Drosophila melanogaster: one gene and its partner. The protein of the gene in region 1 interacts with the protein of each later gene in a pairwise test. Each region holds a gene or a part of one and is shown on either strand. Other genes may lie near its edges. The genes, in order: CG3198 and tfc.

Region 1 (7,806 bases):
GTGTATGCTTCAACAGTGCGTTTCATGAGTGTAATTGGTGTATGCAAAGGTTAGCATCGATTTATGCTCTGCATTTACGTGTTGTTCAGGTTCAACTGATATTACCTTAGGCTCGAAAACAGTTACTGTATTATTCAATTAATTTTAACTGCTAATTGTAAATTGTTGTCTGTTTGTTTTTTTTTGCAAGTTGACTCCGTAAAAACAGTCGTACGATTTTTGCTCAATCCGAAAATGGCTGTTGTGAAATTGCTTTCCTAAACGAATGGCCGGCCATCCCAAGTGCATATATATTTACATACTATGTACTGCCTTAATGTCCCGAAACGCACTGTAAGCAGCATATGTTCACCTGATCCATTGAAGTGCGTAAATAGATGTTGTAGATATTAAACTTAATGCAAATACATACAGTAAAGCGACAAGAAATTTATAAATACTATTAATATTAAATATATATTAAATCTACATATACATACATTAATGAATAAACAAACACAATATTGTTACAACTGAAACGAAAACGTCTTTGAAATGGAAAGTTATGGAAAACGAAGAGTTTTTTCTTTTTATTTTAGCACGCAAAGATTAACAACAGAAAATTTTGTTTTTCATTTTTCGAATCGTTTTTGATCGATTACCTATTTTATTTTCATTGTCACGATCGTCCATGCTGAAAATCTGAAAAGTCTAGTAACAAACGCGCATGATTTTACATTACCGCTGGCTGGTGCGCTTCGTCACTACATTTATCATGATTGCAAAGAAAACAACGGATTGCTGGTTTTTTTTTTTCGGGATTTAGTTTGATCTTTATTAGAAAATTATTGCGAGTCTCTCAATAGAATGTGTTTATCCTTACTCATATCGTAATTCGTAATTAAAAACATCTTTACATGACTAAAGACGATCGATCAAGTTTTATTGATTGGGTTACACTATTATACTTAAATCTGCCTTCGTAAATGTTCCTTAACTCTGTTTGCCCGATGCTAACTCAATTCAATTGATTAATTTGCTACGTAATTGTGGGTAAACAATAAAAATGTGGAGTGTTGGGTTAGTGGATGGGATCTGGGATGCTGGCAGGGAAGAGGTGTGTTCCTCGCAGGAAAAGGGATAGAAAAAAGGAGCTTATCCTGCGCGGACACAAAACAAAAGCGACCATACATTCATATACATATATATATATAATGTATATATGTGTACGGTTCAAATTGCTCCATAGTATTTTTCGTTAACTGACAACCCGGCGTTTTCAATGCAATATTAATTTTGATCCAAGGATGGGTGGAAGTAATGGGTATAGTTATAGATATATGTATATAATATAGTTATAAGTAGTTGAGAGAAATGGAAATTCACCTCGTTTTGTATTATGCCTAATACAGTTATACACGAGTGTCTCTCTCTCTCTCTCTCTCACTGTCTCTTTCAGCGTTCTCTAGCACTCTGTCTCTCTCTCTCTCTCTGTCTTTCTCTGATCACTGAAAAGTGATCGTTCGTTGATTTCCTGATTGCGTTTTATGGATCGAGGAGTGCGGTTCACGGATCTCGGATCTCGGATATCGCCTTCTCTGTCGTGAAGAAACATTTATGTGTGGAGGTGTGGCATAGAAGTTACCTGGTTGGTTCTTCTTCTTTATCTATAGACATATGCATATCTTCCATATATATCTTCCTCTTTCTCTATACATATATATACACATATATATATGTATATATATATATATATATATATATCCCTCGCATTTATTTCAACACTTTCGGGCTCCTTTCCTCGGTTGGCGGCTTCTGGAATACGTTTGCAGAGAGGAAAGTGTAAGTTAAGTGAGCCAGACAAAAGTTCGGGGCAGTTAAAGGTGGATAGCGCATCTTAGACTAATTTCGAGCTGAACGTGTATATAGATTGATTACGTATACGTATTCAGAGTTCATCTGAGTGTGGGGTTTATATATATCTTAGATTGTGTGGCACGAACAGTACAAAACATACAGCTACGGGATATTCGATTGGTTTTGGACGGAGATTTAGCCAACGGCTTATCTCGTCACATCACAAAAATTCGATTTAATCGAGATCGATATCAAATATCAGTATCATAATTTTTATGGGGTCGGGTTCAGTCGCAATTTACCTGTTGGTGAAGAGGAGGGGGGAACATGAACATACATACATGTGTATGGGTTTGGGGACTCGAACTCTCTCTCTCTCGCCCTCTCTGTCTTTGCACTGTTTGCTGTCTCCCTCTGATCACTGCCTATGCTTGTGCTTCTTCATTTTGCATTGTATATTGTATTTGATTGATTAGAATTTAATTCGATTTAGCAATTCAATTACCTCGTGATTTTTCGTGGGTGTCTTGGAATCTTGACTTGAAGAGTTCGCTGGGGTTAGTTTTGTTTTTGTTTTTTTTTTTCAAGCTTAAAAAATAGAGTATAGTGCAGGGGAAGGATGGGAGGGGGCGGAAAACCACAACAATGAGTTAGGGATTACAAAAAAAAATAAATAAATAACTGCAATATGTAGAGTTTTCACGACAAGCCGATGATCCTTTTCCAAGTTTAGCTTTCCAAGGCTCAAAGACTAAGTTTCTTATACATTCATTATCATTATCATATCATAAATAGAGCAAGCGAAAGTACTTAGATATTTGTAAAATTCAGAAGAATCCTTGAATCCTTGGAATGGGCTAATCGCTTGGTTAAGTTATCATCGATTTATCAAATGTACCTGGGAATCTGTCTCACATCAGAAGCTCCTCTCTCTCTCTCTCTCTCTCTCTCGCTCTTTCTCTCACACTCAGTCCGTCTCTTTCTGACGTTCTTCGGCTCACAAGGCACTAAGACTACATACCTCCACGGGAATACTCGAAACCCATCCCAGTGAACCCAGTGGCCAAGTCAAAATCACATGCAGTACGATTGTCACTCAAAGTCATTATATAGATACACTACCATATAATATGTACATACATTTATCGTTTGTGGTTTGTATTTTATGGTTCATAATGTGTCTGTGTTCTTATGTCTTGCGAATGGGTTGATTAGTTGGATGTGCGGAGGGGAATGCGGGTATGGCAGGGAATGCGAATCTGTATCTGTTGGGTTAGTTAAGCGCATAGAGATAAGAGTAAGGCTTGGTAAATACCTGTTTCAGTCAATGTCCCACTCACAATTGCAAGGGAAACGTCCAGTGAACGCTCCGTATCGCCCTAATCCCCAGCCTATCTTTTGGTCATTATGCTTATATATATATATATAAATATATAGAAGTCAAACTCACGCAGCACTTGGCGAAATCTTGTTTTTATATTTCATAGTTAACTAATTTTAAGACTAAACCATAAACTTCACTATTCATTCTGCAACTCCCTCAATATTTGTTTAACCAAATAACCATTGAGTATATTAATTGGGCAAAAAGAAAACTGTCGAAGGTACAAACTTTAAAAATAATCCTGCACAAAATTGAATACTACAACGTTAGGTTAAAAGTGCCTGTGGTGCTTGACTAAAAAAACTAAAAGAGTTAAACATATTTTTTGATCGAAAGGACGTAGGTCCGTCTGTCCGTTTCGAAGAACTGGTGGACCTTGGTGAAATCCTCGCCCGGATCTCAACCCAACTGGGTACACACACACATATTGAGGGGACACGCGCGCGCGTGTGTGTGTGTGTGTGTGTGTGTACACAGATATATAGATCGTATATACGAGAGTAGAGTAATGATACGAAAACGAGTATGTCTACAGAATGTGAAGGGGCACAATGGCGCCCGAGTGTTATATATTCTTTTTTTTTACGGGCTTATTAAGTGTTGGACTCACCTCAGCGCAATTGATACTGCCAGCTCAGATACTGTTTTATCTAACTGTTTTCTGATACATATTATTATTATAATTTTTTTTTTTTTTTGGAAATTGTGTTAATGATTTTTTTTTTTCTATTGGGATACCTCGATGCTGCCGCCCGTGGCCACGGCAGCTGGTGCTTACGGATTGCGAATTGCTGATTTGCGAACCACATAAGACGAAGACTGAAGATCGCAGATGGTCGAGAGATTGGGTTCGTTTTGAACTTGATCATATTTAGTTGTTGTACACTTGCGGTATGGGGCTTTGGAAACTGGAAGTGCTCCGGACTTTCGGATTATTTACTTGTGTTCTTGGTTTGCTATTCACTTGGTTTCTATTGTGTTTATCTTTTCTTTTTCTTTTTCTTTTTTTTTTTTGGTCTCTAGTAGCGACTGCGACTCCGGCTGCGGCAATGTCGCTCGCGGCTGTCATGGCGGTAGTGATTATGGTTGTGATTATGATGGCTCCGGTTGCTCCGACTGCTTCCACCACCTCCTCCGCCGCCAACTCCTACACCGCCGCCACCACCGCCACTGCGCGAATACGAGTGATGGGAGCTGTGGTGCGATTTATGGTGATCTGGAATGGAAATACAGTAGTTCAGTAAACGTTCGAGTGCCGTGTGCAAGTGCAAAACGAATTTGGGGGGGTGAGAACTTACGGTGACGTCGATCCGAGGGCTGGCGATTCTGAACATAGTCGCGACTTCGCTCGCGGTACTCACTGCGTGGCTCGCTAAAGGATTAAACGAATGGAAGATGCTCACATTAGATATAAGATCATCATAGTTCGTTAACTAAAACATTGTCTATAGGATACCATGACATCGCATAGTTTTCTCGTTTCGTGCAGTAACCAAGTAATGAAATAAACTCGAAAGTAATTGAACAGCATTACTCATCGTCACATTGAGGGCATTCTGCCAATTATTTTTTTTTTGAGAACGAACTTATTTTTGTTTTGTGATCTTTTGCCAGGTGCGCATATAGGATAGGATACAGGGTTCGTCGAGACCTTACCGTCTGCTATCGTAGGAGTGGAAGCGCTGCACTCGACCCTCACGTCGACGTCGTTCCTCCTGCTCGCGCTCCTTCTGTCGCGCCTCGTTGATCTCGGCGACGGCGTTGCGCAGTTTGGAGTAGCCCAGATGCTGTTTACCCATCAAATGGTCCTCGATCCGCTGCTGTGCATCGCCGACTATCAGGAAAGCGCCACAGATTTCGCACACCTTCATTTGTTTCTCGGGCATGGCATCATGCGACCAGCCAGCCGCCTTGCTATCCGTCTTCTCTGACGTTTTGTCCTCGCTGGCTGCACCAGCTGCTTCACCGGCATCGTCAGTCGTTGTGACAGCTGCTTGTGCGGAACTTGGAGCTGCATCCGGCGCTTCATCTAGCGTGGTGGCGGCTGGAAGAGGAGTAGTTGGACTTTCTTCGCTGGGATTTGTGACCGGACTGCTGCGCGGGTGATGCTGCAGCTCGTCCTCCGCTGACTTGGTCAGGCTGATGCTGCTGATGGCCTTGTGATGGGCCTCGTATTGCTGTACCAACTGTTCCTTCTCCTCCTTGAGCTCCTCGCACACGGTCATTAGATCTTGGGCCTGGTCCACGTCACCCCGAATGCCGGCTTCCTCTGCCTCAGAGAGCAGCTTATTGATCCGGGCCGTCAGATTCGCAAGCTGCTCCTGGTGCCTGCTCAGTGGCGCCGGTACATTGGGCTGATCCCTTTGCATTAGCAGCAAACGCTGTTTTCCCTTCTGGATCTTTCGATCCACATCGTGCAGCATAACATTGCAAAAGCGCAGGAATTCATCCTCGTACTGACGCTTCCGCTGCGAGGGTCGAGCATCCTCGTAGAGATGTCGGGCTTCCTCGTCGTGGATGCGGGCACAGGGGCCCAGATCTGCGCGCGTATTTATGAATAGATCGTGCGGACAGAACTTAACGTTGTAGAACTGACAGAACTGCGGACAAAAAAAAAAACCCCCATTATTTTGGAGGTGGCTCTTTGGCGCGCCACATCCTGAGCGTACTCACCTCCGGATCCTCCCAATTGACCTTGGCGCCCGCCTCCGAGGGATGCAGGTTGCGATTCCTGCCCATCAGCTCGTCGAGCATCTGCCTGGCGGCGTCCACCATTTTCCGGGGCTCCTTCGCAATTTGTGGGGACAAAACTCCGAAGGGGGCGGTGGTCCCAGTGAATCAAATGAATCCAATGGTACCACACCGACTTCTATGGCCACAACGGTGCCGGCGAACAGGTGAACACACGTGCAACGCTGTGCTCCTGCTGTTTAGCCAAAAAATTAGCCAAAATAGAATCAATAAAATTATTTCACGAAATTCGCGTGGTATCGATTATTTCGGAATAAGCCTATCGGTGCACAGCGTTCCGCGACATGAGTGGGCGAACTATCGGTCTTAAAAACGTACTAAATTCTATAAGTTCATAAAATAAACAACTTAAGTTGAATGTTTTAATACTTTACTCGTATAAAATTATTCTTATAATTCATGTCATTCATCTCTTGGATTATTAAGTTATCCGATTAAGTTATTAAAACAACGTATCTCAATCAACTTTTGGACTATTTGATCTATTCAAAAAATTCGAAAACTACTTGTTGATTAGCAAGGGCAAGAAATTTAAGTAAGCTTTCAGCAATTAAAAAAATATATATTTTTATATATATTTGAACTAATAAATTAATGTGACCGTAAGACATGTTTACCTTTGCTCTTGAATAGCTGGCATCCCTGCGCACGAGCGTTGCCACCCCCAAGCAACTGTCAGAAAAAGGCGCCAAAACCGAGCAAAGCACGCAGCTGTAAACATTCGCAAGAAACGAAAGCAATCTCGGAATTTAGCGCGCAATTCACCAGTTTGAAGCAAGAAGTGACCCAAAATGGATGTGGCAGATGCTCAGGTTGGCCAGCTGCGCGTAAAAGACGAGGTGGGCATTCGGGCCCAGAAGTTGTTTCAGGATTTCCTCGAGGAATTCAAGGAGGATGGCGAGATCAAGTACACGCGCCCAGCCGCCAGCTTGGAATCCCCGGATCGCTGCACCCTGGAGGTCAGCTTCGAGGATGTGGAGAAATACGATCAGAATCTGGCCACCGCCATTATCGAGGAGTACTACCACATCTATCCGTTCCTTTGCCAATCCGTTTCGAACTACGTTAAGGACCGGATTGGACTGAAGACCCAGAAGGATTGCTATGTGGCCTTCACGGAGGTGCCGACGCGTCACAAGGTTCGCGATCTGACCACCTCCAAAATCGGCACCCTCATCCGCATCTCCGGCCAGGTGGTGCGCACCCATCCCGTACATCCGGAGCTTGTTTCCGGCGTCTTCATGTGCCTCGATTGCCAGACGGAAATTCGGAACGTAGAGCAGCAGTTCAAGTTCACCAATCCCACCATTTGCCGCAATCCCGTGTGCTCCAATCGCAAGCGTTTCATGCTGGATGTGGAGAAGAGTCTGTTCTTGGACTTTCAAAAGATTCGCATCCAGGAGACGCAAGCCGAGCTGCCGCGTGGCTGTATTCCCCGCGCGGTGGAGATTATCCTGCGCTCGGAGCTGGTGGAGACCGTTCAGGCTGGCGATCGCTATGATTTCACGGGCACTCTGATTGTGGTGCCCGATGTGAGTGTCCTGGCCGGAGTGGGCACACGGGCGGAGAACAGTTCACGCCACAAGCCCGGCGAGGGCATGGATGGCGTCACTGGCCTAAAGGCACTGGGCATGCGAGAGCTCAACTATCGGATGGCCTTCCTTGCCTGCAGTGTTCAGGCAACGACAGCACGTTTTGGCGGCACCGATCTGCCCATGTCGGAGGTGACAGCCGAGGATATGAAGAAGCAGATGACAGATGCCGAGTGGCACAAGATCTATGAGATGTCCAAGGATCGCAATCTCTACCAGAATCTAATTAGCAGCCTCTTTCCC
Region 2 (5,292 bases), on another chromosome or scaffold:
TGTCAGTGCGCCTGCGATTGCGACTGCAGTCCGGAGTTGGCTCCCTGCTTCATCCAGCCGACCAAGCCGGATCCGGGTCCGGAGGCGTACGACGAGTTCGAGGCCTGCCTCAATGGCAGCGGTCTGACCATACGCGTACTCAAGAACACCCACAAGGTGGAGAGCGTGATGGATGGCAGCGAGACTGCGCCCAATCTGGGCGCAGGCGATGATCCCTGCTATCGCGATGACCCCAATGACTGCGAGCCCGCAAAGGAGTCCTGCCTGCACGATATGCTCCAGCGCAGCTCCTTCGCTCGCAACCACATCAAGCGCCGGACCGGCGGCCGCATCATCAACCACCCGAACATCCCCAAGGTGCGAGCCAATATCAAGTACTCTGGGAACGATGCCTGCGAGACCGACAACTACTACGTGCCCTTCTCGAAGATCAAGGAGGCCTGCGACTTCCAGGAGGCCAAGGTCGACTGCTACCGCCAGCGACTCTGCGGCGGATCCGATCCCATCGTGCCCGCGCACTGTCCCGTCCAGAACCAGCGATCATGTTGCATGCAGGTCGAGCGGAAGGACATCATGGACACCATGAAGGGTGTCAATTTGGACACAAGGCGCAAGGGTATCGAGGTGAGTCCATCCTATATTCATTTGCGCAGCACTGAGTGGCCTAAGGAAATCCATATTTCAAGAATGTTCGATCTTAAATCATTAACCACAATCGCCGATCGCCTCCGCATTCCATTTTTTAAGTTCGCCAGTTACGTGTGCGGATGCGGAATGTGGATCGATTGGTAGTCCGTGACTTTGCCCCCCTAAACGTTGTTGCAGGTGGTGCAACTATGCCACTTCTGCCACTTCGGGAAGGCTTTCGATTGCCTCAATTGTGGGGCAGTTGCGTAACATCTGCCAGCTCCAAGTGTGGAGCACTCTTTTCAGTTTGCGGTGGCAATCCGCTACAGCTTTTTTATTTATGGTAATTTCTGCGAAAGATGCAACGCGTTGCATTGAGACTATTTTGGTTAGCTGTTGCATAGTATCTAAAAAGATTTGTCGCTTTTCTTATTTTTCAGGTTTGCTACAAGACCTGCGAGGAGACCGACAGCGACGTGTTCCTAGTAAAACTGGGAAGTAAGGCCAAGTCGCAGCACAAGAAGAATACCATCGAGATCGAGCTGCGGACGCCCAAGCAGCCCGTAACCCTTCCGATCAGCAAGGTGACCACGGAGACCTATGTTTCCGAGGAGATGCTAACCGGTGGCAAGAAGGGGAAGAAGGGCAAGAAGGGCAAGGGCAAGAAGGGCAAGGGCAAGAAGAAGAAGTAGACCAAGAGATCCGTAGGCGGATCCCATTCCCATCGACCGGACTTGACGCTTACCCTTTCGGAACACATCCTTTGGCATTTTGGAAGCGACTCTTTGAAAATTCACAGCAGCAATTATTGAAATTTGGCTCTGGTACTAACCCATTCATATTAACCCGTCCAGTAAGATGCACGAACACTCACTTTTTCGACTAGTTACGTAAATGTATGCTTTTGATTGAATTAAAATTAAGAAAAAAAAAAACAATAATTCTAGTCCCATTTATGATTAGTTGATCTGATCCCTCACTGATTGATCTGATGTAGATACCCTAACCCGCAGTAATCTGCTTGCAAGTGTATATGCCCATCTTCATTAAGGGCACTTAACTGCCCAGTCAAGGCCGCGGAGGTGTTTCATCTGCAATTGAGGCGGGTCTAAAAATAGCCGACAAAACCAATTCGCGATGCAGAACTCTGATGCCGATCCGATCCGATCCGACCATCTTCATCTATTGCACACCTGTAATTAAAAGCCAGAAATCTTCGCGGGAGGGAGCATCGAGGAGGAGGAAAAGCCGCCGTTGGATGCAGCGGCAGCTTAGCGGTTTGGTCACTTTGCAGTGACTATACTATACGGAGAGGGAGAGATCCGAGAGACCAGAGATCGCAGATCGGGCCAGCTGACCGATCCGATCGGTGGCTCGGAGAGGAGTCGAGCGAGGAACTCGTTTTAGTCGCGTTCAAACGCTTTAGTCTGTAAGTTAACACGGCGAGTGCGAACGCAGGAAAGAGTCGAGAAATCGTGAAGCAGTGCCCCAGCCTAGATGTTAACCATTCAGCGGATCGGCCCCGAATGTGAGCAACTTCTGAGATCGGTCCACGACAGACCACAAAACCAGTGAGGAGAGACCATCCGCTCCAGTTCGCTCGATCCAATTCAATTTCTGCCTCTCGCCGCGAAAGCGGAAAGAAAGTGAATTGAGTGGAGTAGATTTGGGCGATTACTTAATCCGCGTTCGCCTCCACGACCAGGCATCGGACGAACACCGGGCTCCCAGTCCGAATTCGAGGGCGCAAATTAATGGCCCTCGTTTAGAGACTCAACCCGCCCCATCCAGCGTTGACAGTTGGGCGGAGAAAAGCATAGTATTTGAATATTAAAAACTAAATCCGAGAGATACCACAACATTTCCCCAAAACTTTGATAATTTAGAAAGCGAAGCTGCATACCAAATAGGCCCCCGATCTAGAGACACCCGAAAGTCCAACCTCCGACGGTCAGTTGGCTTTCAGTTCCAGCTCGAGATCGCAGGTTATAGCATACCACAGCCGACTGGCTTTCCCCGGTTTTCGGTTACGTGCATCCGAGAGGTCTCCGCCAAGTGCAGTTGCAACTTTTACTGGTGTCTAAGATTCGCGTGAAGAGTGCAAATCGGTGATCATGATCCGCCCCACACTTATCGTAGTGCTCATCTCACTGGCCAGTGTCGATTCCGGCCACAACTCACCCGTGACCACCATCCCGGTGGCCGAGCCCATCAGCCAGGTGCCCCACGGCTTCCAACTCGGCCAAAACAATCACATCAGCAGCAGCAGCAACATTAGCCGGAGTGGAGGCGGAAATGGCCGTGATAAGAGAGGTAAGTACTTGGCCCCTTTGAGCCACTTTTCCAAGTGCCCCCATTGTGGCCATCCGTGTCAGGGTCGGAGCCTCTCGGTCTCTGTGATGGACATCTTCGAGGGGCCCTCTCGATTGGTTCGCAAATACTAACGATTGCTCTTGGCCGCACTGCTTTGAATCGAGCCTTTTCCTAATGTGGTCGATGTTGGTGGGCATTTCAAGGGTTCTGCGCTTAAGGAATGCCCCGTCAATCACGCGATTAAAAACATAAGTAACATATGAAGTTCTATGCAAAAATGCATTCGCCAAGGTTTATTTTGAAAATCTTTCAAATCGAGTTATTTGTTATTAATAGTACAGATCATAATAGAATTCATAATGAAAGAGAATCGGATTTGCATAAAATATCTCCACACATTTATCGCTACTTTTTCTGCATAATACTTAAAATTCGCTAGCTCATCGTGCGATTTTCACATATGTAGTACAACAAAAAAAAAGCAGATTTCGGCCAAAAACGTACTGGCTGTTATTAAAATGCTAATTGTGTTTCCCCTGCACCATTTGGCATTTAAATATTTTAGAATTCATAAGCATATGACTGCTGAGCAGCGAATCCCAATCAAATAGATTCACTCCGGAGTCCAACTTTTGCACCGGCTTAATCTATCTACTAATTTTAAATATATATGTATATATATAGTTTTTGTGGAGGTGCGTTCAATGCCCATCTTCTAGATGCATAAATGTTCACAAGAAATCCAGTTTAAATAATATTTTTCTCCACTTTTTTGCTGCGCTGCTTGACTTTGTTTTTTAATCGGAATGCCGGCGACCTCAGAATATTTAATAAAATGCTAAAAAGAAGAAAATACAGACGTAATCAAAAAAGACGTCAAACACTATAGTGTTATTATGCAAAAACATTATTATATTGATTTGTGACCAAAGTTCGGTGACATTTTGGCCAGAAAAGAAGCGTCAAGAAAACGAACACGTGCCCACAACCTTTCCCCCAAAAAAAGTGGCCAAAAGATTAATGGGTCCAAAGAAGTATGAAAACACGAGTTCAAAAACCTTTCGAATAATTACTGGGCATATTAAGCCAGTAAAGAATTTTAATTTGCATTGGAAATTCAATTCGCTCGTCGTGATGTTCAGAAATTAGCCGAAGTTGTCCAAAAATAAACAAATGATTACTAAATATGCAAATGCTTTTATAAAAATGTAAGAATGATCTCGTGATGGTATAGGCCTACCTACCACTTAAGAGGGCAATTTGTCACGATAAAAAATCTGATTGCTGTGTGAATTAAGTTTTTGAATACTCTTATTCATGCAGTAGTTTATGCAAATATTAAATACAATTTATATATTTTATCTATATATTTAAACTAAATTTTTGTTTCATTTTAATAACAACAACTTGTTGGCCAGCAATAAATGGTTACTTGGGCTCTGTTAGAGTATTCCCAAATGGCTGTGGATAAAATTACACATGTCAGCATTGAATAAATTAATCTTTCGGGCTTTGCAGCTTGACATTGAACCACGGCTGCCAACTTAACTAAATTATGATCTAATATATCAAAGTGTGTGTGCGTATGAAAGACCGATTCTTAGGCACCTTGAGTGCGTCAATCAAAGGGGTTTGACCACAACTTGAAACCTGAGCGCTGCGTAACGTATACGCCGCATTGGCTGCTCATGTAATTGCCCGAAATTAGAGATACAAGCCGATGGCGCAAGCCTTTGAAAAAGTATCTTTATGGAATGTGGAAGCTGGTCCGCAAACAGAGAAGCAGAAAAAACAATCGTTTAGCGAGCGGAATTGCGAAATCCTTTGTCTCAGGGCAACTCCTCGCAGTTAATTGACCTCTTTTCAGCCAAGCGGCAATTGCACGGCCCTCAAATAGTTGCAGTTGCAACTGCAGCCGCTCGTTGCAGCAGCGCGAGTCAGATACATTTTACGGTTCTTGGCCGCAGATTCAGATGCTGGTGGAAATGATTTACCGCTTTGATAGGTTTCGCCTCGTTTTTCACCCAAGGCAAGCCAACATCCTCAGCGAGTTGTCATGATTTATGTGGCCTGTGCGAACGACAATTAGCCGGTCCAAGTATCTGCTATATAGTTGTTGCCCGATATAGATACACATCGGCACGGAGACACAACTGGGTCACCAAGTCGTGAAGTTATTGAATGTCCGTCGATCGACAATTGCACAGGGAGAAAAGATTTGGGATCAAGCAGATACAATCCTACAGATACGTCCATTTTATAGAATTGTAAATGGTAGCTATTAGTTATCTAAGTGAATTTCTGATCGGCGATTGTGTATCAGAACTCCCCACTTCCCTTCACAACTTCAGA

The links.
Region 2: the proteins of CG3198 (region 1) and tfc interact in a two-hybrid assay, tested with the Drosophila melanogaster proteins (one large-scale study listed by BioGRID).

What each region holds. Positions count from the first base shown.
Region 1 is NC_004354.4:6,667,744-6,675,549, forward strand, and holds CG3198 (uncharacterized protein), read right to left. Parts: upstream 6,231-7,806; 5' UTR 5,996-6,230; coding exon 5,894-5,995; intron 5,821-5,893; coding exon 4,877-5,820; intron 4,593-4,876; coding exon 4,519-4,592; intron 4,437-4,518; coding exon 4,240-4,436; 3' UTR 796-4,239; downstream 1-795. Other genes in the region: Mcm6 (minichromosome maintenance 6), read left to right, coding at 6,763-7,806.
Region 2 is NT_037436.4:1,254,421-1,259,712, forward strand, and holds the start of tfc (triforce), read left to right. Parts: upstream 1-2,028; 5' UTR 2,029-2,741; coding exon 2,742-2,940; intron 2,941-5,292. Other genes in the region: CG9133 (uncharacterized protein), read left to right, coding at 1-624, 1,068-1,319.